Linked DNA regions of Saccharomyces cerevisiae S288C. The gene in region 1 interacts genetically with each later gene. Each region holds a gene or a part of one and is shown on either strand. Other genes may lie near its edges.

Evidence for each region.
Region 2: mutations in HAA1 (region 1) and PAU3 together harm fitness more than expected from each alone (negative genetic interaction), as found in Saccharomyces cerevisiae (one large-scale study listed by BioGRID).
Region 3: mutations in HAA1 (region 1) and PLM2 together harm fitness more than expected from each alone (negative genetic interaction), as found in Saccharomyces cerevisiae (one large-scale study listed by BioGRID).

What each region holds. Positions count from the first base shown.
Region 1 is NC_001148.4:568,888-580,392, forward strand, and holds HAA1 (Haa1p), read left to right. Parts: upstream 1-4,130; coding exon 4,131-6,215; downstream 6,216-11,505. Other genes in the region: methylisocitrate lyase ICL2, read right to left, coding at 1-109; REC8 (Rec8p), read right to left, coding at 449-2,491; SUT2 (Sut2p), read left to right, coding at 7,665-8,471; DNA-directed RNA polymerase I core subunit RPA135, read right to left, coding at 8,698-11,505. UniProt on the Saccharomyces cerevisiae protein: Regulates the transcription of a set of genes, many of which encode membrane proteins. Among the genes regulated are YGR138C and YRO2. Does not seem to be dependent on copper.
Region 2 is NC_001135.5:299,250-308,917, reverse strand, and holds PAU3 (seripauperin PAU3), read right to left. Parts: upstream 1,118-9,668; coding exon 743-1,117; downstream 1-742. Other genes in the region: YCR102C (uncharacterized protein), read left to right, coding at 3,451-4,557; YCR101C (uncharacterized protein), read left to right, coding at 5,888-6,436; EMA35 (Ema35p), read left to right, coding at 6,697-7,647; YCR099C (uncharacterized protein), read left to right, coding at 7,619-8,086.
Region 3 is NC_001136.10:1,442,773-1,453,917, forward strand, and holds PLM2 (Plm2p), read left to right. Parts: upstream 1-8,580; coding exon 8,581-10,146; downstream 10,147-11,145. Other genes in the region: PUF6 (Puf6p), read right to left, coding at 1-631; myo-inositol transporter ITR1, read right to left, coding at 941-2,695; SEC20 (Sec20p), read right to left, coding at 3,071-4,222; LCD1 (Lcd1p), read left to right, coding at 5,058-7,301; 60S ribosomal protein eL37 RPL37B, read right to left, coding at 7,426-7,685, 8,075-8,081; methionine adenosyltransferase SAM2, read right to left, coding at 10,538-11,145. UniProt on the Saccharomyces cerevisiae protein: Binds to the promoters of genes with functions important for the G1/S (start) transition; primarily genes involved in DNA synthesis and repair, chromosome segregation, nuclear division and transcription.

The DNA.
Region 1 (11,505 bases):
TTGCCCCGTTGAAAGATCTTCGCAGTGACTTGTCTGATGACAAAACCAGCTTCTTCAGTGTTCCCGTAGTTTTTCTATTGAAAGTTTTGTTGTTAATCATTGTAATCATCGGCGAAATACTAGAAAAGTCGAAATCGATATTATTATCGGCGCTGTAGCTTCTTTAGGCCACTAGTACTTTTATAAGCTCTTCAACCGCAACAAAAGTTAAGAAATAAGAGAGTTATTCTTAAGCCCATTTTTTACATTATATAGTGTACGTATGATATCGCTAGCATGATGTTAGTGTTTCGGCGCTTCTAATTGAAGAGCATATCCTTTTCTTCTCCAATGCACTTTTATTTCTTTCCCCGCAAGCATATTCGGCCCGGATCTCGGACTTGGATCATTAACCTGAGGACAGCGGCTAGTAACCGCTGTCGCTCATATGGAAGGAGAAAATAAAAATTCAGGCATATACAATTATTTCGTCCTCTCTTCTCAGTTTAAGATCTTTAGTTACCGCATCTGCAACAGGATATTCGTTCAACTTGACCATCCCTTTCGTAGCCAAATTCAGTAAGGATAGGAAGGCACTGGCGGCTATCTGTCTGCTGACACCTCTTTCTACATCATCAAAGTTAGCTCCCGTTTGAGCTTCGCCCATGCGGCTTGGGATGATGTCAACCAACAGCATCTTTCTCTTGAAAGGCGGATTGGAGCGCGTTGTTCTTCCGACAACAATTGATCTTTCTTTGATGTAATCGTAGAATTTTTTAGTTTGATAATCCAGAATGACGTCTTGAAAATTTGTTTTGTCCTGCTGCAAATTTTGCTGAGAGCCATCAGAAAAACAACTGTTGCTGGAATCGTCTTCCTCGGCAAAATTCTGTTCAGATGGCCCGACTCTCCTTCTGAGAGCACCAACTATATCTTCATTGAAACCACTAGACCTGGTTGAGTTTCTGGTATGACTTCTTCCAAAACTTGAAGGAGGTAGATTCAAATTAAAATCTAGGATGTTACCTTGAGAGTTTTCTTCAATATAGTGCCCATCTTCCAAATCCTCATTAATTTGTTCAAGGTTTAAAAGTAAATTATCATTTTCCATATCGGAAGAATAATTATCGTTCTTATTATTGCGAAAACTTTTCCTACCATATTCGTGACTTCTGGTACTACTTGAGCTTTGGGTTGATACTAAAGAATGTGCTCTTTTTCTCCCTCTTTCAACTGAACTAAAACCTTGGGGATATAAGTCCCATTCGCTAGTCTTTATATTGGAAAAGTCGTTAAATATACTTAACCAATTTGTTGAAAAAAATTCTTCCTCACCACATGACCTTACCAAACTACTTATGTTAGAGGTGAGAAAATTTTGGCCGGTTAGTTTTCTAATCCTGTTTTTTTCCATTAAGTGACTGTAATTTCCATGGTTGAATTTGAGAACTTCATTTGGATAACTCGTTTTGGCATCAAATTGTACCTTAGAAAATTGCCCACCTACATCGGCGCGATGTCCTCTTTGCATTCTGGTGTTAAGTTTCTGTTGAAGATCGTTTTCTTCTTCAGAAGCCTGCGCTTCTAACCCCAATTCGTAGTCTTTGAGATTGGCTACCGGCCCTTCATTTTCAACTGATGTATCTTCTCCTCCATTACTGTTATTTTCATTATCGTTCTCAAAATTCAACACCAATTCATCTCCTTGATAATTAAACTTGAAATCGTTTCCATCCTTCTGTGAACTTGAGTGAGAGCCTAAAGGTGTCCCCTGATGGCTCACTATATCATCTAAGTCCAGGTTAAAGTCCACATCAACGGGAATTTCATCCAGCGGAAAAGAATTTCTAACGTTAGATCCTAGATTACTTTGCGCGTCTGAGTTAGTCATGTCCCCATGAAGCTCGAACCTGTTAGAATTACTTAACTCATTGATGTAGTCTTGTCTCCTTATTGATTTAGCTTCCTCAATAAAAGATACATTATCTTGGAGAGTAGTGTTAAGAAACTCCAGTGCGGGAACTTTAGTAATATCATATAAGGGATCGTCATCGAAAAAAACGCATTCTTCCCAGGTGTAATTATTGTTTTTGTTTCCTATAATACTGTTATTACTATTCAATCCATTAATCCTCGTAGACTTATTTTTGGCCTTAAAAGCGTATACATCATTTTTTTGTAACTGCACAAGCAGGTGATTTAGGTCATTCAACACATACTCGGTTTTTTTATTATAGCAAATTGTCACTCCATATAAAAGATTAGAAATGTATCTAAGAGAAAAATCATTTTCGAAATTTTGAATTTCATCACATGTTTTTGGTATGGAAATATTTACGATGTCTTTTTTCTTAACGGTGGATGAAGATATGTTTCCAGTGGAGTTGCTTTTGTTTGAATAATAATTGTTACTTTCCTTTACAATGGAATTTCCCAACGCAGAAAGCAACCACACTGTTGTGAGGCCCTTATATTTCTTGTCATCTTTAAAGTTCAACGAAAGAGGTGCCATTGCAGAATATTTGTAATATTAATCTATATATAGCAAATGCTTTAGAGTTGCTGAGGCTAAAAAGAAATTATAGAACAACTATAAAATATTAAGTCCGGATACACTGCTTCCTTTATACCATGCCCTTCCCTTTATAGTGTAAAAACGCGTAATCTTAATCAATCTGATATATTGGTTTGCCGCCGAAGTCAAGTTCTCCTGCTAAAACGAGACAAAAAGAACACGTGAAAGAAGAAAGAAAAACGTTACGATAAAATAAGTTTTATACCTACTTTCATATCTACCAAAGGAACACAATGAATTGCCGTATGTTATTCTTGAAGTAAGAGTCAAGTATTATTTATGGACTAGTATTCACGTTACTAGTACATTATCACATGCGGTGTAAGAAGATGATATAAAAATTGAGGGACAGTAATCAAATTCAACGGAAGTCAAAAAGGAAGGATTGGTAATGTATAATATCGAAAAATGTGCGAAATAGTTGATAATTGTTGGAGTTTTATAGTTGTTAAAGGCTATAATATTACGTATTTAGAATATACTAGAATTTCTCTATGAGAAGAACCCACGAAGAGATCGATATTCTCGATATAATGGCATTATTGTTATCCTTTTCATCTTATGTGACTGTCATTCATCATCCTACTAAATTATCAATCCTTGCAATTAGCTTCTATTACACCTGATGACTGTTTTTCAATCTTTATGTGATCTTTTTACACCCAATGTGATAAAGTACTAGTAACATGAATACTACTAAACAGATGATACTTTAGAGTTTTCATTCCAACACTCAATTGTAAAAATAAGACAATATTATGATTTTTTGGCTGTATAACCACATCTATTTAGTAGCAGGGTGACATGTTACTCCCACACAATACTTCGCGCAAGTGGTTTAGTGGTAAAATCCAACGTTGCCATCGTTGGGCCCCCGGTTCGATTCCGGGCTTGCGCAATTTTTCCCCCTCGCCCTGAAGGGCGTAACGTTAACGCTTCCGGTAATTTGCGAATAATTTTTCTTCCCATTTCCCCTTTCTTTTCCCTTTAACATGTGGAGCATAGCAGGCTCTTTACTTTTTTACGCATTCAGACAGTCGGGAGGTCAATTGGTGGTGCCGGTTGTGGGAAAGAGGTAATTTTATTTCCTTTATTGGACATGATTTCAATAGTCACATTGGGGCAGGAAAAAGAAAAGGGAGAAAAAAATTCAGTAAAGAAAAAAAATAAGAAAAAGAGAAAAGAAACAAGAGAGGGCTACAGATTTCTAAATATCCTTTTGCTGCACATTTTTTATTTACCTGCTAATTGGTCTTAGTAATACAGAGTCGTGCATTTCCACTTTATAAGAAAAAAAAAAGGGATAACAGCACCAGCACTTGATTGAAAACTAGAAAGTTCACGTTTTATAAGTCCTTTCCGTTCTCTTTATCAGTTATAATAAAAGAGCCAAGACAAAACGTGGCAGGGAAGCTTTTCCAAGGAAAAGAGGGTTGTAATATTAAACAAAAACCGTAATCAAGCAAAATAAGACCCCGTGGTTTTTTATCATAGGAAAAGAGTTCTCTGTTGTCACTCTACCATATTTGACAAGAAAAAGGAAACAAAAGTATAGAAAAAAAAAACCTAAAAAATAATGGTCTTGATAAATGGCATAAAGTATGCCTGTGAGAGGTGCATAAGAGGCCATAGAGTAACAACATGCAATCATACAGATCAACCGCTTATGATGATCAAACCCAAAGGTAGACCTTCCACTACATGCGACTATTGTAAACAACTTCGAAAAAACAAGAATGCAAATCCTGAAGGTGTTTGCACGTGTGGCCGGCTAGAGAAGAAAAAACTGGCACAGAAAGCCAAAGAAGAAGCAAGAGCTAAAGCCAAAGAAAAACAAAGAAAACAGTGTACCTGCGGGACTGATGAGGTTTGCAAATATCATGCTCAAAAGAGACATCTAAGAAAGTCCCCTTCAAGTTCTCAAAAGAAAGGAAGATCCATTTCTCGTTCTCAACCAATGTTTGAAAGGGTATTGTCTTCTACTTCACTTGACAGCAATATGTTATCCGGCCACGGAGCACTATCAGATACCTCTAGCATACTGACGAGCACATTTTTAGACAGTGAGCCGGGTGTTGGTAAAATTTCAAAAGATTACCATCATGTCCCTTCATTGGCCTCCATTTCATCCTTACAATCCTCGCAATCGTTAGATCAAAATTTCAGTATACCACAAAGCCCGCCGTTATCTTCAATGTCATTTAATTTTCTCACGGGAAATATCAATGAAACCAACCAAAATCACAGTAATCATCAGCATTCAAAATCAGGCAATAACTGGCAAGATAGTTCGGTAAGCTTGCCAGCGAAAGCTGATTCACGTCTTAACATGATGGATAAAAACAACTCTGTGGGTCTTGACCTATTAGGCCATTCAAAACGAATATCGCCGATATCAAACTCTCGTGTGGGCGAAGTTAGCGTTCCGCTAGAAGAATATATTCCTTCTGACATTGATGGGGTTGGAAGAGTTACTGATAAAAGCTCTTTGGTCTACGATTGGCCATTTGATGAAAGTATTGAGAGAAATTTCAGTACAACCGCAACCGCTGCAACTGGTGAAAGTAAGTTCGACATTAACGACAACTGTAATAGAATTAATAGCAAAAGTTATAGTAAGACTAATAGTATGAATGGAAACGGTATGAACAATAGCAATAATAATAATATCAACAGTAATGGCAACGACAAGAACAATAACAACTCTTCTAGACAAGAACATCAAGGAAATGGACTATTTGACATGTTTACAGATTCATCGTCGATTTCAACGCTTTCCCGTGCAAACTTATTATTGCAAGAAAAAATTGGTTCGCAAGAAAACTCTGTCAAACAAGAAAACTATTCGAAAAATCCTCAACTTCGTCATCAATTAACTTCCAGAAGTAGATCATTTATTCATCATCCGGCAAACGAGTATTTGAAGAATACTTTTGGAAATTCACATAGTAATGACATCGGAAAGGGAGTTGAAGTGCTATCTTTGACACCGAGTTTTATGGATATTCCCGAAAAAGAAAGAGAAACGGAAAGATCGCCATCATCCAATTACATTACTGACAGACCTTTCACTCGAAAACCTAGATCTTCTAGCATTGACGTAAACCATAGGTATCCACCTATGGCACCAACAACCGTAGCGACATCTCCCGGTGCATTGAACAATGCCGTAGCAAGCAATCTCGACGATCAACTGAGTTTAACATCACTAAACTCTCAGCCATCATCGATAGCAAATATGATGATGGACCCTTCAAACCTAGCTGAGCAAAGTTCTATTCATTCAGTTCCTCAGTCAATAAACTCTCCGAGAATGCCTAAAACTGGAAGTCGCCAAGACAAGAACATTCACACTAAGAAGGAAGAAAGAAATCCGCTAAATAACATACACGATCTGTCACAATTGGAAAATGTACCAGACGAGATGAACCAAATGTTCTCCCCACCATTAAAAAGTATGAATAGACCGGATGCCATAAGGGAAAATTCATCTAGTAGTAATTTCATAATCCAAGGAAATAGCATGATCTCTACGCCTTCCGGAAGGAATGACCTTCCAGATACCTCTCCAATGAGTAGTATTCAAACAGCGTCACCACCAAGTCAATTACTGACCGATCAAGGATTTGCGGATTTGGATAATTTCATGTCTTCGTTATGATAAATTTGCTTTTCGTCTCTTGCTTCTCTGTAACTGTAGTTTTCCTCCTCCCACATATATATATATATATACACTTTTATACACCTAATAATATCATCGGCATTATGATTGCTTATACATTTTCATAATCAATATTACTGTTCACCATTTGAATCACTGCAGAAATATGCACTGCGCCTTCTTTTTCTTTGCCTGAAGCACCCACACACAAGAACAGGAATGTGAATGGCCTCCCCATCTCACTTTTACTTAATAGTATTCTGACAATATAAGGTATCAGAGAGTAAGACCATTATTAGGCAAACAATAATCTTCAGAATTTTTAGTAGCGCATTCTCAACCTTTCTAGGTGCGTTTTTCTAATGAAATAGTATCGTTTTCCTTCCGCATTCCTTGCGTAGTTTGTTGTGTAAATATAGCAATAAGAAACCCTATAAATCATTATGATGTAACTCCCGATTCTTTTAAATAATTACATAAACTAGGAAGGCAAGTCCGAACACGCAGAGATGAGGTATTTGCACTCAATGACAAATCTAGGTTTAAACTACGGGGCTCCATACCTTATCTCTTCACTTATCAAAAGTAGGCAAAAGAAAAGAAAATAAATATAATTTCTTTTTCTGCAGGCAAGATTTTAAAAGAACTTGCGCGTCCTCTGTGCAATCTACCTGGGGAGTCTCGGGCTTTAACCGCTCCCCATTCTAAACTGCTTCCATTGACGTGTACTATACTGCTCACTTCTTGCTCTTCGAGCAACAAAATCTGTATTACGTTTCTTACACTAGTCGAGTGAAAGAGATAAGATACCCACTTTTACTTGCCGGGAGAATGGAAAAGAGAAAACGGAAGAAAGGGCTTAAATACATTTTCCTTTAATATGAACATCCTACTGTAAGATAAAAATTGGATGCTGATAATGGAAAGGAGACATGTACGGTATGTACGGCAAAACCTCGGCGGGTTTTCGCCGCTAGCTCATATATTCTTTCGTTAAATTTTAAAATTTCTTATTCTAAATCTTCTTTACATGTTTGGAAAGAATTTATTGGAGAGAAAAATCTAGACCTGCCAAGCCGATAAACGAATGCCTGCGAAGAAATAGTGTAAATATTACTCCTGAAGGTAGAGTCATCTAGGCGGAGACGAAAACAAAGTTTAGCTTTTCGTGAAATTGCCCATTTCATGTTTATCAACCACCAAAGGTTAAATGGAGGTTTGACAAAAGAAATTTTCTTGCTAAAGGTTAGCATTTTTTTTGGAATTTTTTTTCCTTCGACTGGCTGTAGTTGTCCTTCTATATTACGTACAACAAAAACTTTCTTGAATGAAGAATTAGTTCTATCATATAGACCATAAGAAAGAAAACGCACTTGGATAATTTTTAACAAAGAAGAGGGCAAACTGACGCTCACCAAGCTATTGGTTTGTTTGGATCAATCGTCAGATATGAAGCCGAACAATCGAACTTGTGATGTAATTACCAACAAAGATGAATCTCTTCCTGCACTTTTGCTGCCTGCACTGAACAGTTACACCTGTGACGATTCATTGCTAAAAGGACAAATTTCAAGCAATGGCAGATATCAACCATTCGGGTTTTCTGATTGCTCTTTACTGCCAAAGCGTTTAAACATTCAGGCAGGGCAAGGATCTATGCCAGTTTCTTCGATTCAATGTGCAGACCACAGTTATAGTAATTGGCAAAAAGAATCCGAAAAGACTAAGCTTCCCAAGCTTGGTTGCCCAACAGAGTACACTGAATACTATAAAACTGTTTCTTCCGGCGAAACAACCGATTCAGCGGTTGTTTCATCTATAGCAACGAACAGACTCAAAAGAAAACGTCAGAGGGACGGCCCAAGTTGTGACTCTTGTAGGATAAAGAAAATAAAATGCAATGCAACAATCATTATCTTTTTACAGGATAGGAACCTAATTTCATCAATTTCTTCAAATTTGCATTATACACTTTCCCAAGACGACATAAACCAGTTTCGAATGAAGTTTTTCAGGAAACTGCCTGACGTGATGGGCACATATGAAGTCATAAAACACCTTGATAAAATAGTCCTTTTCAAAGCCTGCACCTCTTGCAGTAGAAGAAACCAAAAAAATGGAAAGTGTCTTTTTTCGAGAGGATTTACAAAATCTGATATGAACGTATTTCCCAAGATAAATAGTAAACTTAAAGACAAAAGTATCTTCGAGATGACTGTCGATGATTATGTTGCCGCTGGCTTCCAAACCCTTTAGGTTTCATGCATGTAATTTCCTCCTATGTAAAATATAGGAATATTAATAAAACGCACCAATAATAAGTTAGATATTTTTCTGCAAGATATAAATTTGTTTACTCATACATATATATTCTATTGCGGGGCGCTCTTGTATAAGTAATTCAATAAAAAACCTCTATATGATACAATTGACCAAGCCTTCATTTACCATTCTATATCAATTTGGAAAGAAGGGTATTTCTCTATTTGGGCTCTACATTATAACGCAATCTTATACCCATTGCGGATAGCTCAGAGTCCAAGTACTTCAACACAAATGGTATGGCCACCGTAGTTGTTTCATTACCACCAACAAATTTGTTACCTTGTCCATCTTCCCAAATTTGAGAGTCGTCAATAAAAATTTTCTCTCCATCTTCTGATTTAGTCAATAGCTTCTTTGCATCTTCGAATCTCATGGAACAACGACGGCAACAAACGGTGGAAATCGAACCAATTCTTGGCACACTCTGTTGCGTGGTCAAAATAGAACCACACTCGCGACATACGGATGCCTGTGTGTAGTCTGATGAATTTAGCAGACGATCTTGTAATAGAAAAGATGTACCATGCCCAATCAAAGCATCTCTTTCCATTTCACCGACACGAATACCACCATGTCTCTTTCTACCTTTGACAGGCTGCATAGTCAAACTATTCACAGGACCAGTGGAACGAACTTGGAACTTGTCATTGACCATATGACGTAATCTTTGGTAGTAGACAACACCAACATAAATATCTGCCCTTAATTCTTCACCAGTAGCACCTGAGTACATTGGCTCATTACCATGGTAGTTGTAACCCGCCTTCGCTAGTTGCTCACCAAAGTAATCGGCTGGGGTATCGTCCTCGTTAAAGATCCAAGGTGTAGAGTCCTGTGCAATACCATGCAATGCCCCCGCTTTACCTGCTAAAGATTCGACGAACATACCAATGGTCATACGCGAAGGGAAAGCATGAGGGTTAATGATGATGTCTGGTTGGATACCTGTTTCGCTAAAAGGCATATCAATGGTTGGCCATTTTCTTGAACAAACACCTTTTTGACCGTGTCTAGAAGAAAATTTATCACCAATTTGAGGCGTTCTTCTAATACGATATTTTATGCTAACAGTTTGTAGTTCTTGGAACTTATTGGATTCATCACCGATTAAATTTACCTCTTCGATATATGCTGGTTCAGAGGAGTGATATGTCTTGATTTTGGTCTTATTTAAAGTATCGTCAAAGTATGCGCAGATTGGATCACCCTCTTCAACATAAGTGCCAATGTATGGCAAACCATCCTCGTCTAATTTCTCAAGCCACTCCTTTGGCCATTCGTCATTCCCGAAACCAAAATGCTGTGTAATTGGGTCACCACGGTTTCTGTTAAGTGCTAAATCCACTTTCTCAGTCTTATACATAGTACCATAACCGAAACCTCTTTCATCTGCTGATTTGTTTATAATCATTGCATCATCCATATCATAACCAGTATACGAGATGACCGCAACAACAGCATTAAACCCGTTTGGAAAGTTATCCATGCCATAATCATCATATAAATTAGCTTTTACGATAGGCGTTTGACCTGTTTGCAACCTATACAGCTTATTGTCGGAACGATGGCACAAAGCTACACCCGGAGTACCCATTGTTTGTTTACCCATCTGACATTGATACATGTTTCTTGGAGACTGGTTGAAATCAGAAAATGGAGTCAAATTAGCCAAAATAGAAAGAATATTTGTGGGCGTAAATTCTACGTGTGTATGAACGTTATTTTGAATTTCTTGAGGAGTGACAGCAATGTTCATGTACACTTGCTCAAAAGGTCCAACAATGTCTTCTTTATCCAAAGGCAGGTAACGAACAGGACGCAGCATCCTAGAATGACCACCAAATAGGTAGAGACCTGGATATTGACCACGAGTTGAGGGAGGAACATATCCAATTTCTAGATCAATCGGTAACCCAGGCGTCTTGCCTTCAACTTTCCAATATCTCAATGTATCCGCAATGATCTTACCTTGTTCATGAGAGACCCAGCCAATAATTTTACCATCAATTTGAACACAACACAGAGAAGGACCAGCAGCAAAGGTGTGAGATGCCGGAGCAACACCAAGTGAGTATAATATAGAAGGAATTCTTGAGACGTCAGATTGCTGAGTTGATATACGACACTTGTGCGCAAAATGGTTTAATAAACCACAAGGAGAACCATCTGGTGTATGAACAGGGCACAGGAATCCCCACGACTCAGGTAGCAACTTTCTGACTGTGGTAGTTTTCAATTGCGCAAAAAAGGAGCCTCTATGAACCATTCTAAAATGAGAGATAAAACGGTAGAAGTTAATTTTTTCTGCAACCACAGTATAACCAGAAACTTGTTGTAAATCTAACCCAGACTGGGACACCAGGTTACCAGTTGATAAAAAGTATTGCATTTTGGAACCAATGTTTTCATTAACCCTCATTAAAACTCTTGACATGTACCTTTTGTCTTTGAAATTAATGGCCATACCACGGTTAATATCCATCCTGACTTGAGCAATAATATTCTGTAAGTACTCATCAATCTTTTCTTTTAGGATCATACCATATAAGAAACCACCCAAAAGAACTTCTTGATGTTGCGTAGCATCTGGGTTATCTGGAGAACATTCGCCTGCAACCAAGGAATACAACTTTCTGATCATGAACAATAACATTCTGAATTTATCCTGGCTGCCATCCTTACCCAAATGCACGAGAACGATGCGATCAAGGACTTCTTGTCCGACTTCTAAATCAGATTGATCAGGGGAAGCTTGAAAGACAACACGAAATTTGTCTCCTAAATATTGCAAGACTTGTGTGCGATTTTGTAAATGAGGATATCTTTTCTTAAAACCACGTAACAGTAATTCTAAACGATCGGTCAAAAAGGAATCCTTAACGTCATTACCAATAATACCATCAAAAATTTCCCTATCGCTGGTATGACACAAGGCTTTTAAAATCATAACAACAGGAACTAAATA
Region 2 (9,668 bases), on another chromosome or scaffold:
TTTTATTATGCGGCCGAATGATACTTTTCGGCCGAATATTGAGCGTCTCAGCCGACCCGCATTAAATGACATTGGGATTATTGCAAATGTTCGCCCTTCAACTCTTCCTTGCTTAACTGATAATTGAATCAAACCATTTCCACTCCACCCCTGAGAAAATTGCAACAAATAACACCGCCTTATCCTACAAATCTTTAGTTATTACCTCCTTAACACTATCCTTACTTTAACACTTACTCCATTTTCTGACTAATAAAAACATATACACACATAAGTAGGCACAGAAATGCAAATATTCGTATAACAGGAGACGAAAATTCAATATGGTTACTCTGACTTGTCGCTCGCATAGTCCCTGATCTACAGCATTAATCCAAAAAGAGACATGTGTGTAAACAACTCCGGGCCAACACACTGAAAAATAAAGAAATCAATTTATTTTCGTGGGAGAAATAAAAGCAACAGAGCCAAACGTATCAAACTTCAGCACTACTCATTAAGAATATATGCAATAATACTGGATAGCACTTTCAACTGCTTCCCCAGAAGGATAGCCTAGAAGAAAGTTTCTTTTCCGTTGTTGATGCACCTAAATAATGTCGTCTTGATCAAATATAGGCTTATAGTATTGATATATGTTTATATAGTCAACTGTATTTATATCAAAAAAAAAAAAAGATTTTTTTTTTATTCTTTCGTTATTTTTCAATGTCTATGGAAGTTCATTAGTAAAGGCATGTCTCTATTTTGGAATAGCAGTGTAGATACCGTCCTTAGATAGAGCACTGGAGATGGCTGGTCTCAATCTAGTGGAGTACCATGGGACACCAGTGATGACTCTGGTGACTTGTTCAGCTGGAATACCAGTCAACATAGTGGTGAAGTCACCATAGTTGAAAACAGCTTCAGCAATCTCAACTGGGTAGGTCTCAGTTGGATGAGCTGCTTGAAACAAGTAGTATTGAGCCAAATGAGCTCTGATATCGGAGACGTAAACACCCAATTCGACCAAGTTGACCCTTTCGTCAGATGGAGATAGAGTGGTAGTGGCTGGGGCAGCGGCAATACCGGCAGCGATGGCGGCAACACCAGCAGCGATTGAAGTTAATTTGACCATTGTATTTGTTTTGTTTGTTAGTGCTGATGTAATCTTAACAAGAAATAGTGAAATGAAAGCGCATACCTCAAAGGCATATAGTTGAAGCAGCTCTATTTATACCCGTTCCTCCATCTGTCATCACTACTTAAACGATTCGTTAACAGACGCTCATTTAGCACCTCACATATCCTCCATATCTCATCTTTCACACAATCTCATTATCTCTATGGAGATGCTCTTGTTTCTGAACGAATCATACATCTTTCATAGGTTTCGTATGTGGAGTATTGTTTTATGGCACTCATGTGTATTCGTATGCGCAGAATGTGGGAATGCCAATTATAGGGGTGCCGGGGTGCCTTGAAAAACCCTTTTACGCGCGCCTGTGAAGTTTCCGCTTTCGGTCAAAAAGAATATCCGAATTTTAGATTTGGACCCTCGTTCAGAAGCTTATTGTCTAAGCCTAAATTCAGTCTGCTTTAAACGGCTTCCGCGGAAGAAATATTTCCATCTCTTGAATTCGTACAACATTAAACGTGTGTTGGGAGTCGTATACTGTTAGGGTCTGCAAATATGTAAACTCTCGGCGAATGCCTTGGTGCAATTACGTAATTGTAGCCGCTGAAGGCGGATGGTATTGAGAGAAGTTGATGTTCAAAGTATCGTGTATGATAAAAATAGAATTGTAACCAGTTCGTAGTAGCAGTATTAAAACTTTGATTCCGAGATGTAATCCCTCTTTTCTAGCCAGATATGAAGGAAAAAAGTGTAAGGGTAGTTGAGAGCGCTACTTTATTTTATTCTATTTTAAAAATGTTCTCTAGGAGAGGTGTATTAATAGTTGGTACTCCATGTAGCTTCTAAGTCAAAAGAAATGTCTCTATCTTTATGGTAACGGTTCATCGTTAGAGCTCAATTGTGCTTCTTGGATGTATTTCCAAAGTCCCACGTTTAATAACCCACACAACATAAATGTCCTTGAATATAAAAAATTTCGAAAGCTCCCCGTAAAGAATGCTTGATAATCAGCTCCATCAAAGAAATACTTTTTGTTCTTCCAAACTTTTCCTCTCAGCAAATACATATTTATTTCCTTTGCAACCACTTTCTAGAGAATTCATAATAGTTGATAAAAAAGGCATTTTGTCTTCTATGTTCATAATTTCAATTCTTGAATTTTGGAAATCGTGAAATGTTTCGAGAAACCGCCTTCAATAATTAGAAAACAAAATAAAAGATTACAGTTAGGCCACTCAAAAATACAATTCAGATAAGAAAGGTGCGATAGTGGGGAATAAGAATTGGAAATCCGCTTGATAATCAGGGAAAACTTAAAGAACGGGGTGTTAAAAGTCTGTGAAGTATAGATCAAACTCGCACTAGCTAGCAATACTCATGAGAACCTAGGTGAGTGTAAAGCAGTGAACCTTCTTTAGAAAGCAGAGAAAAATCCTCCAAGTTAACAGTCTTCCATACTTACTCAGTATGGATCAAGTTCCACAGTTTGTCCACTTCTGTAGAATAAACTTGTAGTGCTTTTCCGATGAAAAGGGATAGAGTCTTTAAAAGACTTGATCTTGGCATTTTTATCCTCCTTCAAGCAGAATGGCTCCAGTAGAGTTGTTCTGAACGCTTCTGGGCAGTGAGCAGCATTGAAGAAAAAGTACTCAGCATTCCAAGCTTTGTCTTCATATAATTATAAATTAAAACTCATAGCCACCAATTTCCAGGTTTTGGTCGCAATATGCTGCAGAATCAATGGCTTGTTTCGTTACTATACTGGTCCGACGGAGTTTACTTTACTCTAAATTTGCTGAAATAGCAAGGCCACACGCCATACAATTAACAATAGTTCATTCAGTTGAAAGGTTTCCGAGATAGAAAGTGCGGTAGTAGAGAAGAACAATAAACGTATCAAACTTTGCGCAGTCATGGAATTTCCAGGAAACATTTTTAGGTTTTCATATGACAGCAGTTCCTGTCCGAGAGCTGTGCCTTTCTTGTCTCAGCTGACTAAGATGTCTCGGATCCGCCCGGCTGGCGCGCGGCTCCGTCTAGTGGGATAGGCTTTCAACACATAGGAAACCCTTCAGATGATGAGAACACATCGAATCCCAGAGAGTAATATCACCAAGAATAAAGCAACCATGATAGACAATATTACTAAGTGTTCCTCAACAGATATTGAGAAAAGTTCTTATAAAGCGGGCAGGCTTTTTTCTATTTTTTTCTTTTTCTTTATCTAGCTTAAGATCCTTCTAACCATATTCTATAAAATGGCAAGCTGAATACAGATTATCAACGACAATTACATATAACCTACAAACAGGCAAGTTGCAATTCCAGAAACCATGAAGGCTGTCGTCATTGAAGACGGTAAAGCGGTTGTCAAAGAGGGCGTTCCCATTCCTGAATTGGAAGAAGGATTCGTATTGATTAAGACACTCGCTGTTGCTGGTAACCCGACTGATTGGGCACACATTGACTACAAGGTCGGGCCTCAAGGATCTATTCTGGGATGTGACGCTGCCGGCCAAATTGTCAAATTGGGCCCAGCCGTCGATCCTAAAGACTTTTCTATTGGTGATTATATTTATGGGTTCATTCACGGATCTTCCGTAAGGTTTCCTTCCAATGGTGCTTTTGCTGAATATTCTGCTATTTCAACTGTGGTTGCCTACAAATCACCCAATGAACTCAAATTTTTGGGTGAAGATGTTCTACCTGCCGGCCCTGTCAGGTCTTTGGAAGGGGCAGCCACTATCCCAGTGTCACTGACCACAGCTGGCTTGGTGTTGACCTATAACTTGGGCTTGAACCTGAAGTGGGAGCCATCAACCCCACAAAGAAACGGCCCCATCTTATTATGGGGCGGTGCAACTGCAGTAGGTCAGTCGCTCATCCAATTAGCCAATAAATTGAATGGCTTCACCAAGATCATTGTTGTGGCTTCTCGGAAACACGAAAAACTGTTGAAAGAATATGGTGCTGATCAACTATTTGATTACCATGATATTGACGTGGTAGAACAAATTAAACACAAGTACAACAATATCTCGTATTTAGTCGACTGTGTCGCGAATCAAAATACGCTTCAACAAGTGTACAAATGTGCGGCCGATAAACAGGATGCTACCGTTGTCGAATTAACTAATTTGACAGAAGAAAACGTCAAAAAGGAGAATAGGAGGCAAAATGTCACTATTGACAGAACAAGACTGTATTCAATAGGCGGCCATGAAGTACCATTTGGTGGCATTACTTTCCCTGCTGACCCAGAAGCCAGGAGAGCTGCCACCGAATTCGTCAAGTTCATCAATCCAAAGATTAGTGATGGGCAAATTCACCATATTCCAGCAAGGGTCTATAAGAACGGGCTTTACGATGTTCCTCGTATCCTGGAAGACATTAAAATCGGTAAGAACTCTGGTGAAAAACTAGTTGCCGTATTAAACTAGATGACGAACAGATATTATTTTTCTTTTGTATACACAGTTATTACGTATGTTAGAGTGACTTGGTTTTTTTTTTTTTAATGAAATTGTTTGTTATTGATCACGCCTTGTAGGGGAAACAGATGAGAACAGTGAAAATCATAACTCATTATGTGATTTGTTGTGCGTCACCCTTCCATGATTATATATCCTTACTATCTACTATCCAACTACTACATATCTATTGAACTCATATGTACCAAGCACATAAAATTATGCACCTATTTCCATTGGCAAAGACTTGGCGAAATTTAATACACTGTAATAATATCCGGCGAAGCTCTTTAAGAATTCTTACCTATAATAGCGGCTCGCTGTCCGAACGATTGCGCCGCACTTTTCTGCCTCTTACATTCCCTTTTCCTAAGGCGATAAGCAGGCTGAATGGAAACTACGATATAACGCAGTAGAGGTCCCCCAAGAGCTGGAAAGAAAATATTGGTTTGATAGCCAGCACTATTCTATCCAGTGGGCTCTTGTACCATTTTCTGTGGTATGGCTTTGATTCAACTGCATACGTAGTTAACGCGATCAGCCGCACATGGGCATTATCATTTTCAGGGGTACTGGTAAACCCTATTGTTTAGAAAGAATACCTGGTAAGCGGGTCTGTCGAGTCTTTCCCACTAATTTTGAAGAAAAAATCTTTACCTAGTTTGAGAATAATCGTGGCGTTCGTAACATCACGAGGTGAGAGAGACCAGTTAGGTAAGGGTATGCCAATAAAAGGTTATTGATACTTCAACGAATCTTCATATTAAAAGTGCCTTCACCAGAATAAAATTCTAACGTCATCCTAAAAAGCATCAATTGGACATAGTGAGGGAAAGTTTTCACCATTTAAAATCTATTCTGCAGAATACCATTCTAGACTATGATCCCTTAAAGATTCCCATTCTTTAAATATACAAATCAGGTTCAACAGCGTATCTTTATGGTATTATCGTACTACTGGCGACATTAGCAAATCCAAGTATCCTAACTAGGTTTCTAGTCTTATCTCTTGGTTTTCTCCATTAGATGGTAAACACGTTACCTTGATGGCTGTACAGGAAGTGAACATGGTCAACTCAAAGTCACCGGACTCAAAATAATTGCAATTACCTAGACTGGATATTTTTAGAATATTATGAGAATATTTTTAGAATACTTGCAACCCAAAATATATTTAAATGCCGCCAATTTGCAACCAAAAGATTATCCGCTACCTTTTTTTTAGTCATTGAATTGTAGCATAAAGTTCCGAGCTTTGAAAAAAAACTTTGAACTAAGAAAAGGTAAGAGATCCTCAATTATGATATTACTTCATGCCATATATACTCTTTGGGTAATTATACTACTTCCGCTACTCAATGCAGAGAAATTTGTCCCAAAAGTAACGGAGGCTCCTATAGAAACATCATTTAATCTAGTGAGTTTTGATGATTCCAACACTTCTATCAGATTAGATGGTTGGGGGGTTGTATGGATAAGTTTCGACGCTGGAGAAAATTGGGAAACGGTCAAAGAAATTGAAGAGCGCATTTTCAGATTTACTGTTGATCCTTTCCATGGACAGGAAAGAGGTTTCGCTTTTATATGTGAATCACCCAAATTCTACATTACCGACGACCGTGGGGAGTCATGGAGGGCTTTAACTATACCCTCATCAGAAGAATATTTAGATGGCGACTGTTTTATAACTACTCATCCTAGAAACAAAGAACTTCTTATTGCGAATTGCTATAGCTATATGATAGACGCAGACGTTTTATATGACCCAAGTGAAATTTACTTGAGCAATGATGGGAATCCTTTTTTAAAATTAAACCTTCCTTGGAAAAGAAAAAAGACGACGATATAACAACTTAAAGCTGTCATTTCATTAAGTCTAGCAAGGATTCTGACTTTACTGGTAATGATACTTCGATACTCTGTTTGTTCTCTAACCGTGAATACGATGAAGAATATCGCTTAACTGCTACCTACACACAGTTGGCTTTCAGTAGTGATGGAGGCAAAACGTTTAAAGATTTTGATGAATTTAAAGATAAGATTGTTACTCAATACAAGATATTGAAGTCATATGTGGTCGTTTTAACGCAAGATGACGGGCATAACGAGATGTCATCTACGGACATCTGGATATCCAATGATGCATCTACTTTTCAAAAGGCACAGCTGCCTACTCAATTACGGCACGTCAAAGTGATTAAAATTCGTGAAGATTCTATCGGAAGGATCATCCTTCTTATATCGACAGAAATCACAAATGAGGAAAATGCTGATCCAGATCTCTCAGAGATTTTCATATCAGATTCGCAAGGGTTGAAATTCTCACCTGTTGAATGGACACCAAACCATCAGTTTGGAAATTTTAGGCTCACTTTTCCTGATTTCTTGAAAGGGACAATATTTGGATCGTTTCATCCTTCCATTGACTATTCTAATCACCAAGTAAACTATACTGAAAATATAGCCGGAGGAGAAACCAAAATATCCGTTGATAACGGCCTCACATGGTCAAATTTGAAAGTTGTTGATGAAGAAAATGCCGATTCGTTCGGCTGTGATATCACTAGGCCTGAGAGATGTTCACTTCAGGGTTATTTTTACAATCTAAAACTTTCAAATCCTTCTGCTGGGATCATATTAATGACAGGTTCTGTTGGCGATGACAATGAATTCGATCGGAAGGACCGAAAAACTTTCATTTCTAGAGACGGTGGTCTAACATGGAGGGTGGCCCATAATTCTTCTGGATTATATGCTACTGGTGATCTGGGAAATATTATTGTATATATCCCGTCTCCTTCATATAAAGATGGTGATGTACAATCCAAACTTTATTTTTCCTTGGACCAAGGTAGAACATGGAATCAATATGAGCTTGTTGACGCTTTATTTTATATCCATCCATTAGAGTTGATTAATACAACGCCAGATGGATCAGGCTCAAAATTTATTTTAAGCGGACATCTCATTACTACGGCTAGTCAAGAAGGAAACAACACCAACATCTCATATATTGCAAGAAGTGTCCTGTATGCGATCGATTTTTCTGCTGCATTTTGACTATAAAACGTGTGAAGAGGAAGATTTCGAAGACTGGAATTTGGCAGATGGGAAATGCCTTAATGGCGCCAAATACATGTATAAAAGGAGGAAACAGGACGCCCGTTGTTTGGTAAAAAGGACATTCAAAGATATGATTTTGCATGAAATACCTTGTGACAGTTGTACTGAATCCGACTACGAATGCTCTTCTGAATTTGTTAGAGATGCAAAGGGTGACTGTATACCAGATTATGATCAGATTGCCCTTTCCGATATATGTGACAAAGCTAATGGCGAAACTGTATCATTAGAGCCATTACAATTAATTAAAGGAGATAAATGCAAAAAGCCCATGGAAATTGAGGCCATGAACATTCCATGTGAAAAAATCCTGAGGGAGAGCTCGAATGGTAAGAAAATAGCAACCATTGAAAACAAGTTTGACTTTGAAATTTAATTTTATCAATATTTCGATACAGTTTTGGGTGAATCTTTTATCATGCTTAAGTCAATAGAAGATGCCTACATACCTCACGATATGATGAATAAACAGTAAAAATGTTCGACACTGACGACAAAAAATTGACACTATTCGGGACTGATGTCATATAGAAACATAAGGTCTTACTATTTCGTTAATTTATTATTGTGATATGTATTTACAGTGTAATATGAAGTTGTGTTTAAACTATATTTTAATTCCAGGGTTTATTTGTTTGGCTCTATGAGTAACATTTTCTCAACTCAAGACAGAGGATGCTTTTCTATGATGGCTAAATTGCCTGAAACCAGACAACTAGGCATGCCACCAGATTTTGGTGATGAAAAATTGTGAATCAACCTTAAATCCAGAACATAATAGTATACCTTACCAAAGATGGTGGCGGAACGTTTACATAAATGCTTGGTAATGCAGTTCATTCTGGGTTAGCGGGCTCATTTTTCAAAAATCCGTCAAATGGGGATATTTGCTGTATGCTAAGTAAAGGAAAAGTTTTCGCCATCAGACGACTTATATGAAAACGCCAACGAATTATCCAGTTTCACGAGTCAAGGCGGTAATTTTGAAATCGAACAAGAAGATGCTCACACGCCTGAACGAAACACATGTCACAGATAACCAAGACTGTCTCTAGCAACATTCCAGACGCATTGCGAGCTCGAAGTTCCGCTCAAAAGGTTGATTGGCAGCAGCACGCATCGAAGACAAGTGGGTAATCTTTTTTACGCATAATAAATGGCTGTGTCTATTTTTTATTAAGAGAAGTAAGCATAAGGATTTTCTCAATATTGTCCATTATCCGAGGCCTCCATTACCTTTGTATGAATATAATCGCCATGAATATAATCGCCATTGTAGTTCGCCAAGTGCCGCCTTTCTTTTCTTCTATCCTCTTATCTTCCGCTTATTGGCACAGGAAACGTAAAAATTAATAATCACCAGTTCCAGTCATTTTGAGTTATAATCGTTTACCCTCCCGACAAAGATAGTAGCTCGATTCAAGAACATGAATTTTACTAATATTCGTACTTTTTTAGTTTCTGCTACTATTAATCGGTTTTGAATCCTGTCTTCATTTTGTGAGGACAAAATTTAGTAGGTGTGTAAAGTGGTATTTAAGATTCGAGTCTGGGTGCACTAAACAATGATAGACTGATCAGTACATCTTCAATTTACTATATATAGATTTTTATTAGTATTTGTTTGCAACAATTCAACGGTTAGTGTATGTAGACTATTGAATATAACGAAGATAAACAAAAAGAAGGGGAGCGAAAAAGAATTGTCAACAAATGTTTATCGATATCTGCGATAAGGTTCTGCAAACAAATGCCGCTTACGAAAAGAATACAAAAATAAGAGAATACAAGGTTATCAGCCGTCGAAAAGCACATGCTATCGTGTCATCATTTCGTGAACTATACTTCTAATGGTGTCTGCACCACAAATACCATATACACATTAGAGCATGACGATGAGTACTTACTTTTCTTGACTGTACAGCCACAGATGTTGCAGTGCGTTTCAAAAGTTCCAG
Region 3 (11,145 bases), on another chromosome or scaffold:
CCAATAGATACTTACCGTACGCAGATGTGGCTAGAACATAAAATTTTCCCTTTAAAGCATCGACAATTTGTTCACGACGATCTTTGGACGAATACTTGACTAAAGTTTGAACAATACGGGAAGCATCATGCTTTAAGACAAGATCACTGATACAGTCCTTAGATAGCTCCCAGATTTCGTTGGAAAGTTTTTCACGAATCTGTTTTGGTAAAGGTGGGGTCTTCACACGCAATCTTTCCCAGACGGATTTAATTTGTTGCACTTGGGTACCAGATTTTCTTTGCATTTTCCTTTCTTTTAGCAGTTTTCTTTGTTCAGTGTGATTTCCATTTTCACCTCCTTCAGATTTGTCCTTTCCTTCTTTCTCTTCATTCTCATTTTCATGTTCCTCACTGTCATCGGAAATATCTAATTCGTCAGCTTCTTCTTCTGCTTCAGAGTCACTGGTACTTAAATCATCCAAATCATCATCATCTGATGAAGAGGATACAGCATCTTCCTTTTTGGATAGTTCTGATTCTTCATCAGACGAATCAATAGAAATTCTAGGTTTTTTGGCTAATTTCTTTTCTGAATGACTAACTTCTTTAGCAGAACGTTTTCCGTTTGTCTTCTTGGTTAAAGGTGCCATTGTCAGTTAATTTGTTATTCCTGATTGTGCTTTATTTCAGTACTCTATAATAAAACGCTTTCACCTTCGAAATACTTTAGGTAGGCATCTCATCTCATCCCAGCAAAAAAAATTTTCAGTATTTCTCTCAAGGTGAAAAAAAAAAAAGGTCTTCAATGCCGGGTTAGTTAATCTTCTATATATGCATACAACAATTAGTTCGACTTAAATACAATGAACTTTTTTCTATCTTGTAATTTATTTTTATTTATTTTCTACTATGTATTTGAATATTCAATTGCGTCTCCTTCCTTTTACCTCGTGAAAGGACTATATATCCTCTATAATCTCTTGAGTTGGTTCATATTTCAATTCATGAACTCTGGCAACTTGCTGTTTTCTCTTCTTGGCCAAAGCTTTCGAGGCTTTGATGTTGAACCCGTCCTTCAAAATAGTTTGTACCTCTTCTAACTCCAATCCCGATAATTCTGGATAACAGAAGTAGCAGAAAATGGTTGATAAGCACGACAATCCCGCGAAAAAGGCAAATGTACCTGCAGGAGTGATATTCTGTAACATGGTCAAAAATGTGGATGCAATAACCAGTGAACCAGCCCAGTTTGTAGCAGTTGCATATGAAGTCCCAATACCTCTCACGTTTTGGGGGAATAGTTCCGATTGTTGCCATGGAACAGTACCGATACCAAGAGCGTAGAACGCAGCAAATACGATAATAAATACGATGATCACAATACCCCAAGAGGAGAAACCGGAGGAAACCACCACAGCGACAGCGCCATCAAACTTAATACCTAGAAAATGGAAAGCAATAGAGCACACGACTAAAGCCATGGTCATGCCTGGTAATCCAATCAATAATATGGTTCTACGGCCTATTTTGTCAATGGAAAAAAAGGCAACTAAAGTGAAAATAAAATTGGTACCGGACACGATGATTGAAACAGCGGAAGAATTTTTGAAACCGACAGTTTCGAAGATGGTACCAGAGAAATACATCAACGAATTCCAACCGGTAAACTGTTGAATTGCTTGTAAACCACAACCAATGATCAAAGCCCTTAGATTAGATGGTACTGTGTGCAATTCTTTGATGGTATTCCAGACTTTTTCAGGGACATTCTTACCAGGAATAGATTGATTCAAAGTAACAAGTTCTTCCACCTTACGTTCAATGATTTCCTCCGAAGTGTCAGTGTAACTTCTCTTCAACACCTCAGTAGCCCTTGCCAAGTCGCCCTTCATAACGTAGTATCTTGGAGTGTCAGGTAAAAAGCACAGGCATGTGAATTGCACAGCAGTGGGAATTAGTGACAATCCAACAAGAATTCTCCAACCATTGTTGACGTAGTTTAACCCAGCACCGCAACCGTAAGCGACTAATTGACCACCAGTCAACCATAAGGAATTGATGACAGTTAGTCTCCCTCTGATCATTTTGGGAGCAATTTCACTGATGAAAAGTGGCGCGATCAAGGAGCCGATACCGACACCGAAACCCATGATCAGTCTACCAACAGCCATTTGCCAGAATGTGTGTGCGGAGACCTGTAAGATTGCGCCAATGACAAACATCAGATTCGAACCCATTAAACAACGTTTCCTACCAAATATGTCAGCTGCAGTACCGGCGAAAATACTGGTAATCAAAGCTCCCAGAGAGGTAGCCGCAGTGACAATTTCCTTCTCCCCATAAGTAAGTACCTTGTGGTCCAGATCTGTGCCGATCGAGATCAGCGCACTGGATATATAACCAGTGTCGTAACCAAACATGAAACCGGATATGGATGCGACAAAAGTCAGAGTGATGATGAAGGGCGAAAGAGATTGGTTAAAAGTGATCATGACCGACGTGTCATCCTCGTCGTTCACGGGTTTAATTTGAATCCTATCTTCATCATCGCTAGCGGGAGCCCTCTGTATTTCATGTGACTCAAGTGTAATTTTACCTCTCTTTGAAGGTGAGTCATGCTCACTGTTGAACTCTACACTATCAGCGTTGCCAACGGCATCACCAACATTTGATTGCGATGTCTTTGACGTGAGATATGGTATGTGTATTCCCATTTTAACACCCACTGCAGAAACAAAGAAAATGAAAGAGATGTATACAGTAGGACGACCAATAAATCTGAATAGCGCACCAAACTGAAAGAGAAGAATAGAGCAAACACCTGCCAAAGAAAAGCCCAAGTGTGAAAGGTCTTTTCTCAACTATGGCTTGATTCCTTTTATATTTTTTCCATTTTGCAACAGCGCGTTGAGCTTGGTCGAGCTTTTTTCACATGCGGTGGGGAAGGCGTATTTAGCGCAACCAGTGGGGGGTATAAGCTATACCTAACGCATGTGAAGAGAACAGAAACAATGGTGAGAGAAAATAAATGGAGAGGATGGAGAGAACTAAGTATATGCGCTTATTATGTTATATAGATGTTAAAATTATCATAGCTCATCATGTGAGACGATCCTGTCCACGGCCTCATCGACAGCCCGCTGGATACTACTGACGGCTGATACAGATGCGAATGGTTCCACAGAGGTTGCTGAGGATGTAGTTGTAGTGGCTAGAATGGGTGCATTTAGCACAAGACTGGGTGCTTGAAGAGAGGACGAGGAGCCTGCATAGCTTTTAACTAGACCTAGGGTGACGAGTATACCCTTGAAAAACTTGAATAGCAGCCAGAGGCCGAGTTTAACAGGTAACTTGAAAATACGACGCCATAGAACCCACGAGACGCAGCATAGGAGGAACCCAAGTGATAAATAGACATCTCGTTTCTCTTGATGGGAGGCATTTTCCAGTACTTTGACCAAATCGGCAGTTTTCTTGAAGACGGTTTCGAATTGAGTGTACTTGTCATCGATTTGTGTTAAGGAATTGGTTTGGGCTCTCAATTCATCCAAATTCAGGTCACTTTGTAAAATTCCGGACTGCAAAATTTGATTTCCTCTCACCAAGTTATTCGTCAGTTGTTTTGTTTTGCTCAAAAGCTTCTCTCTAGTGCTGGCTTTTTCCATCGATGTGGACGTTAAGCTTGACGATGACGACGTTCCTTGGTGAAGCTTGTCGTAATCCACAGCGTGAAATTTTATAGCGCGGTCTCTTTTCTCGTCGTTCCAAGCTAAGTCACGTTTGTGGTGTTGTCGTAGAATCTCTTTGACTTTCAGGCGGTAGCAATAGAACCAATCGACGAATTGCAACACGAAATCCAGTTCTTCGACCAACTGAGCATATATGTCCTCGTTCATTTGTTTATCAAGCTTCACAATATGCAACTTATCGCATTGATCGTATCTAGGGCTTTTTTCCCACTGTAATTTTAATTCGGGGTATTTGTAGGTCATTTCCACAATACTACATTTCAGTACCGATTCGAAATCTGAAACTTTGCTCTCTATAATATTCACCAAATCCTCAAATTCAATCTCTTCTTCTTCATCATTGTGTTCGTTGGCAATGGCTGCAAAACTGTCCTTATTATCATGCTTGCTTTCTCCGCTTTCTTTTCTGCGGGAGATTGCACTTAATTTTTGCAAATTATTTAATAATGCATCTTGCAAAACTTCCAGGTCCTGCAAAAATGTCACGACCATAATCTTTAATGGCTTTATAGTTTGTTATGCGCCTTGGCAGCGTGATCCGATCTTACTTGTTAACTGTATATCAGGTATTTCTGTTGGCATTTTTACAACTGCGAATGTATTTTTCATTATTTAGTAACAATTCTATTTACCCGGACAGCGTGTGCAGGTGATTTATTGATAAAGTCACTGGTAAAGACGTGCTTTCTTTAGTGTGGGATTAGATTTACCACTTGTTTTGAGATTAGGAAAATTCCAACGTTTGCTAAAGGTGCAAACGAAGCTGTTTTGTTGCTTTTCTTTTCTTTATGTAATTGTATTTACCATGATCCTCTTTGGTGCGGCGCTAACAATAGAAAAAAATACACACACATTAGATTGGAATTAGAGCTTAAGTGGTACAAACTAGGGCTAATAAAGAGGTAACGGTCGGTTCTCTACTAAGGTTCGTATTGTGTGGCACCGATGTTAAGCACTTTTAAGCGGAATAACTCGAGTGGAAATTTTATGTTTAGTTAGGTTTTACCTTGAATTTTTTTAAAAAAAAAAGAGTCAGACAGGCTCGCTCTTTCCTACTAAATATTAGGAGCAAAGCAGTAAAAAGTCTCTGAATAAGGATAGTAACCTGTAGTAACTCCAAAATTTATCTTACAAAGAGCTATTAGTATCTTGGTTCTTCTATTTTCTTCGATTATTGGTGATTTTTCCCGCCTCTAGCCAAATCCGAGCGTTCCATCGATTTTTTGGGGAAAACAGCACATGCAATAAAATAAAAAGCAAACAAATACGCGATAGTGCACGAAACGTCAACACAATCATCAAACTCTTTTGCATATTTCTATTATAGATGAGACGAGAAACGGTGGGTGAATTTTCTTCAGATGACGATGATGATATTCTTTTGGAATTAGGCACCAGGCCTCCAAGGTTTACTCAAATACCGCCATCATCAGCAGCATTACAAACACAAATTCCCACTACTTTGGAGGTTACAACGACCACATTAAACAATAAACAGAGTAAAAATGATAACCAACTGGTTAACCAACTGAATAAAGCTCAAGGTGAAGCAAGCATGCTTCGTGATAAAATAAACTTTTTGAACATTGAAAGGGAAAAGGAAAAGAATATTCAAGCCGTCAAAGTTAATGAATTGCAAGTCAAGCATCTTCAAGAGTTGGCTAAATTAAAACAAGAATTACAGAAACTGGAAGATGAGAAGAAGTTCTTACAGATGGAAGCGAGAGGAAAATCGAAAAGGGAAGTTATTACGAATGTAAAACCACCGTCAACAACATTATCAACAAACACAAACACTATAACGCCAGATTCGTCCTCAGTTGCAATCGAAGCAAAACCTCAATCACCACAATCAAAAAAACGTAAGATAAGTGATAATTTACTGAAAAAAAATATGGTTCCCCTAAACCCAAATAGGATTATTCCCGATGAAACGAGTTTATTTCTAGAGTCAATATTACTTCATCAAATAATAGGCGCTGACCTGAGCACAATAGAAATATTAAATAGATTGAAGCTTGACTACATCACAGAGTTTAAATTTAAGAATTTCGTCATTGCTAAAGGAGCCCCCATAGGGAAGTCCATAGTTTCTCTACTTTTGCGATGTAAAAAGACGTTGACCCTCGACAGGTTCATAGATACTTTGCTAGAGGATATAGCTGTTTTGATCAAGGAAATATCAGTTCATCCAAATGAATCGAAATTAGCTGTCCCATTTCTCGTTGCATTGATGTATCAGATTGTACAATTTCGTCCTAGTGCCACTCATAATTTAGCACTGAAGGATTGTTTTCTTTTTATTTGCGATTTAATAAGAATCTATCATCATGTATTGAAAGTACCGATACATGAATCAAATATGAATTTGCATGTAGAACCTCAGATTTTCCAATATGAACTGATAGACTATTTGATAATTTCGTATTCCTTTGATCTCCTAGAAGGTATATTAAGGGTACTGCAGTCGCATCCTAAGCAAACTTATATGGAATTTTTTGATGAAAATATTCTAAAATCATTTGAATTTGTCTACAAACTAGCACTAACCATTTCATACAAGCCAATGGTAAATGTAATATTTAGTGCAGTCGAGGTCGTTAATATTATCACTAGTATAATATTAAATATGGACAATTCCTCAGATCTGAAATCCTTGATAAGCGGTAGTTGGTGGAGAGATTGTATTACAAGATTATACGCTCTTTTGGAAAAGGAAATTAAGAGTGGCGACGTATATAATGAAAATGTGGATACTACAACTCTTCATATGTCGAAGTACCATGACTTTTTTGGGTTAATCCGAAATATAGGTGATAATGAATTGGGAGGATTGATATCAAAGCTGATTTATACTGACCGATTGCAAAGTGTCCCAAGGGTAATTTCTAAAGAGGATATTGGGATGGATAGCGACAAATTCACTGCCCCTATAATAGGTTACAAGATGGAAAAATGGCTTTTGAAGTTAAAAGATGAAGTTTTAAATATTTTTGAAAATTTATTAATGATCTATGGAGACGATGCGACCATAGTAAATGGAGAAATGCTCATCCACTCCTCTAAATTCTTATCCAGGGAGCAAGCGTTAATGATAGAAAGGTACGTGGGACAAGACTCCCCGAACTTGGACCTCAGATGCCATCTTATTGAACATACTTTAACCATAATATATAGGCTATGGAAAGACCATTTCAAACAATTGCGTGAAGAACAAATCAAGCAGGTAGAAAGCCAATTGATTATGTCACTATGGAGGTTTCTCGTATGCCAAACCGAAACTGTGACAGCAAACGAAAGAGAAATGAGAGATCATCGACACCTTGTAGATAGTTTGCATGATCTGACGATAAAGGATCAAGCCTCTTATTACGAAGATGCCTTTGAGGATTTACCAGAATATATCGAAGAAGAATTGAAGATGCAATTGAATAAAAGAACGGGGAGAATAATGCAAGTAAAGTACGATGAGAAATTTCAAGAAATGGCAAGAACTATTCTTGAGTCAAAATCATTCGATCTAACCACACTAGAGGAGGCCGATTCATTATATATCTCAATGGGACTGTAAGGCAACAATCAAAAGGGGAAAATGTCAACGCTTTATAGAAACCTTGTAATGCTTAATATTAACTATATATAATTTATATTATTTTCGTTTTAGGAAAGAACAAAACTTATAGATAATATCAAATTTAAGCAGAAGTAGCCTTAGCAGAACCGGTTTGGAAACCGTTCTTAAATCTTCTGGAGACATGCTTCAAATATCTCATTCTACCGGTACCAGTAGTGTGTCTTCTCTTTGCCTTGGCAGCCCAGTTGTGAGATCTAGTCTTAGCGGATGGGTAACCACAAGAGGAACAGGTCTTCTTTTGAACATGGAAAGAACGACGACCACATCTGTTACACAAGGTGTGAGATTTGTTGTGACGCTTACCGAATGAAGGAGTACCCTCTGTTTAAAATGAAAACATAAAAGTTAATTATCGTTAGTAAAACTTTGAACTAAATAAACTCTACTGCTGGATTCAGAACAACTTCATTGGCGGTCTAGATGTGTGTTGCTGTCTTACACTATTTCTTCTCACCTTTTTGTATTGACACTCAAATCTTTTTATTCGCTCTTTATGCATCCGTTATGTGCAATTTCTTATCATCAATGGCTCTGGCAACATTCATCATTCTATATTTTTAAATCTTTTGGCATAGTGAATAACGTAGGTCTTAGTTTACCTGGCCTCTCCTGGTGGAAAATTTTTTCAGTGCTTCTTTCTCATGTAATCCTCTAAATCAGACCGGATGTGATTGAACGTTGACTCATCAATTAATAATTCCTGTACATACTACCCATCTTTACTTATATATTCGTTTACCTCTTTGTTCTTTATCTACACATAGTAGTGCTTTTTGTTACCGCTTTCTATAGTAACCTATGCTTACTATTCCAGCCATGTTTCCAATCTCATCCTTCCCGCAAGTGGCAGGAAGATTCTCAGTGATAATATTAGTGGTGTACGGAGTGCTTGAAGAAAAAAAAAACTGATATAGAACCCAAAAATGTTCGGCTTTTAAAATACAAATATGTACAGGTGTTAATGTCTAAATAATGATAATCCAAACGCGATAATTTTTTTTTCGCGTTTGTTTTTGTTTCAGAAGAATAAGTAAACACTTCTGCCTCTCCCAAGAAAGTTTAATTTCTCTCCTTATTTGCCGTTTCTATCGTTACTAGCAACGGGGAACAATATATAGAAGCGTTTTTTTTTTTGGTATACTATTTACACAATATTTGCCGATTTCATTAGTCTTTTCGCTAGAAGTTTCACGACAAAATCGTCACAATTTTGGTTATGTCCCATCTCTTCCCACCATCATCACCAGTTGCTGGTAAACCTTTGGAAAGCCCACAAAAAGAACCTGGTAAGCTTGCTAATACTTCTGTATTGACCTTAGGAAGAAAACGGTATAATTACGAATTGGAAGAGTATCCTACTCCAGACCCGTCGTCTAGCATCGGAAGACAATCTTCACCAGTGAAAGATATCACTTCACGTTTAAATGAGACCAAATCTGCCTTGTCATCTCCTTCAAAGCAAGAAAAGGTGCTTGCAGGCCCTATCGAGATTGAATTAGATGCATCGGATCCCTCACGTTTAGCCATCGGTAGGAAAAAATCAGTCTGCAACATTATTTTGCCATGCAGAAAGAATATCTCTAGGCAGCACGCTTTTATTTCATACGCCGCCGACAGAAATGAAATAAAATTGGAATGTAATGGAACTAATGGGTTGTCCGTTCACTTGCCTTACTCCATGCAGTTGCATTTGGTAAAACCCTTCCCAACAAGGAACTTTTATAAACTAGTGGCAGAAGAGCCTTTGACCTCGCAAAATACTAAACAATCGCATGGAAAAACTCTTCAAAAGAACCAAAACTTCATCAGCTTTGTTTTGGCTAAAGGTGAAACTGTTACTTTCCCCTATATCCAAGGAAGTTTCATAAATTTTACAGGCGTCACAGTCTGTCTTTCATTGAAAAAAGTAGCACCTTATCCTGGCGATGGCAACAATAACTTTGACGAAGAGAACTCGACAGAAACGGAGGATGAGTTGTGTTTATTAACAACAACGAGCGATGATTTTTCTTGGCAAAAAGAAACACCTTCGATGAAATTTGTCCCAGTTGAGCATTCACCTCGTACAGAACAGATCTCAAAACCATTACTTATTGCATCTCCTGCTCTTGTGAAAAACTCCCCCATTAGTTATAGAACAACACCCCAAACATCTTTCGTTATTAATCAGCCATCAACTCCAAAGAAACTGAAGCGTAAATCAATTTCATTGAAAAATAACACTATACAAGAGACACCACTTCCTAAAGATAAAATAATTGGGACATTAAGTGCCAGTACTAGGAGTGGTGGCATTAATGAAGAAGAATCTTTCGCAGCAGTTGCAAAAAAAACTAAAGAGCTGTCTTCTACAACCGCGATTGTATCTCCTGCACAAAAACGTCTTAAGACTTCATTGAATATTATTCCCGAAATTTCTCGGTCGCTCTCAGAAAGAGGAATTCGGTTTGATGACCTAGTTCATGTGCTATGTAATCATCTTGCATTTTCTAACCTTCAACAAACGCCTTTATCCCAATTGCAAAACATCAATTCCAACACTTCACAATTAAGCAAAGATGAACTAAAAAAGGTCTTGGAGACTATTTCTTGCATTGGTATTATTGTGCGTGAAGGAAAAGATGCGTCTGGCAAGCCATTAGAAGACGAGTATTACTATGATGTTGAAAACGATGATAGCGACGAGAGAAAGATTTTGTATAATTCGTTAAAAGGCAGGAGCCGATTAAGGTCGTGCAGGAAGAAACATAAACAGTATTTCTGGAAGAGGCCGACCAAATAACCTCAAAGACATTCTATATTTCAACCTTATTTCCATAGCATAGTCATATTACCACGTGGAGCATCATGAAAAAAACTGGTAAAACTCGTCAAAAAGTTCTAAAAACATAAAGTAATATTTTCTATATATTTCCGTTGAAGGAGCTAATACATAATCCATACAAAATAGATCATTATGCCTAGATGTTATTCTATTGGTGTTTGTCAAGTTTAAGAATGTTTAAAACTTTTCTATTGTATCATTTTCTAGTAATTACATGACTCGAGTTGAGCGAATCAAACGATAAGGCATCGTCTTCTCAATATAGGGAGGTGATCGGGACCAGCCTAGCATAAAGAAAGGGATTGAAATAATTATAAAAATCAAAATAAAACATTTATTGTCTAAATGTTTAAAATTCCAATTTCTTTGGTTTTTCCCATGAGTACTCTTGATTAGTGAAGTGACCATAAGAAGCGGTTGGTAAGTAAATTGGTCTAGCCAAATCTAATTCCTTTACTAACACACCTGGTCTCAAGTCGAAGTTCTTCTTAATAATTTCAATGATTTCGTCATCTGATTTTGTAGCTGTACCATAGGTGTCCACATGTAAAGACAATGGTTCAGCAATACCAATAGCATATGAAAATTGGACTTGGACTCTCTTACACAAACCAGCGGCAACTAGAGACTTGGCAACCCATCTAGCAGCGTAAGCAGCGGAACGATCGACCTTGGAATAGTCCTTACCGGAGAAGGCACCACCACCGACGGATGAGGCACCACCGTAAGCGTCGACAATAATCTTTCTACCGGTCAAACCAGCGTCACCTTGAGGACCACCGATGACGAATCTACCGGATGGTTGGATGAAATATTTGGTATTTTCGTCTAACATATCCTTTGGTATGACCTTTTCAACAATATCTTTTTGAAGTTGAGTTCTCAAGTCAGCGGTGGAAATTTCATCAGCATGTTGAGCAGAAATAACAACGGTATCTATCCTCTTTGGAACCCATC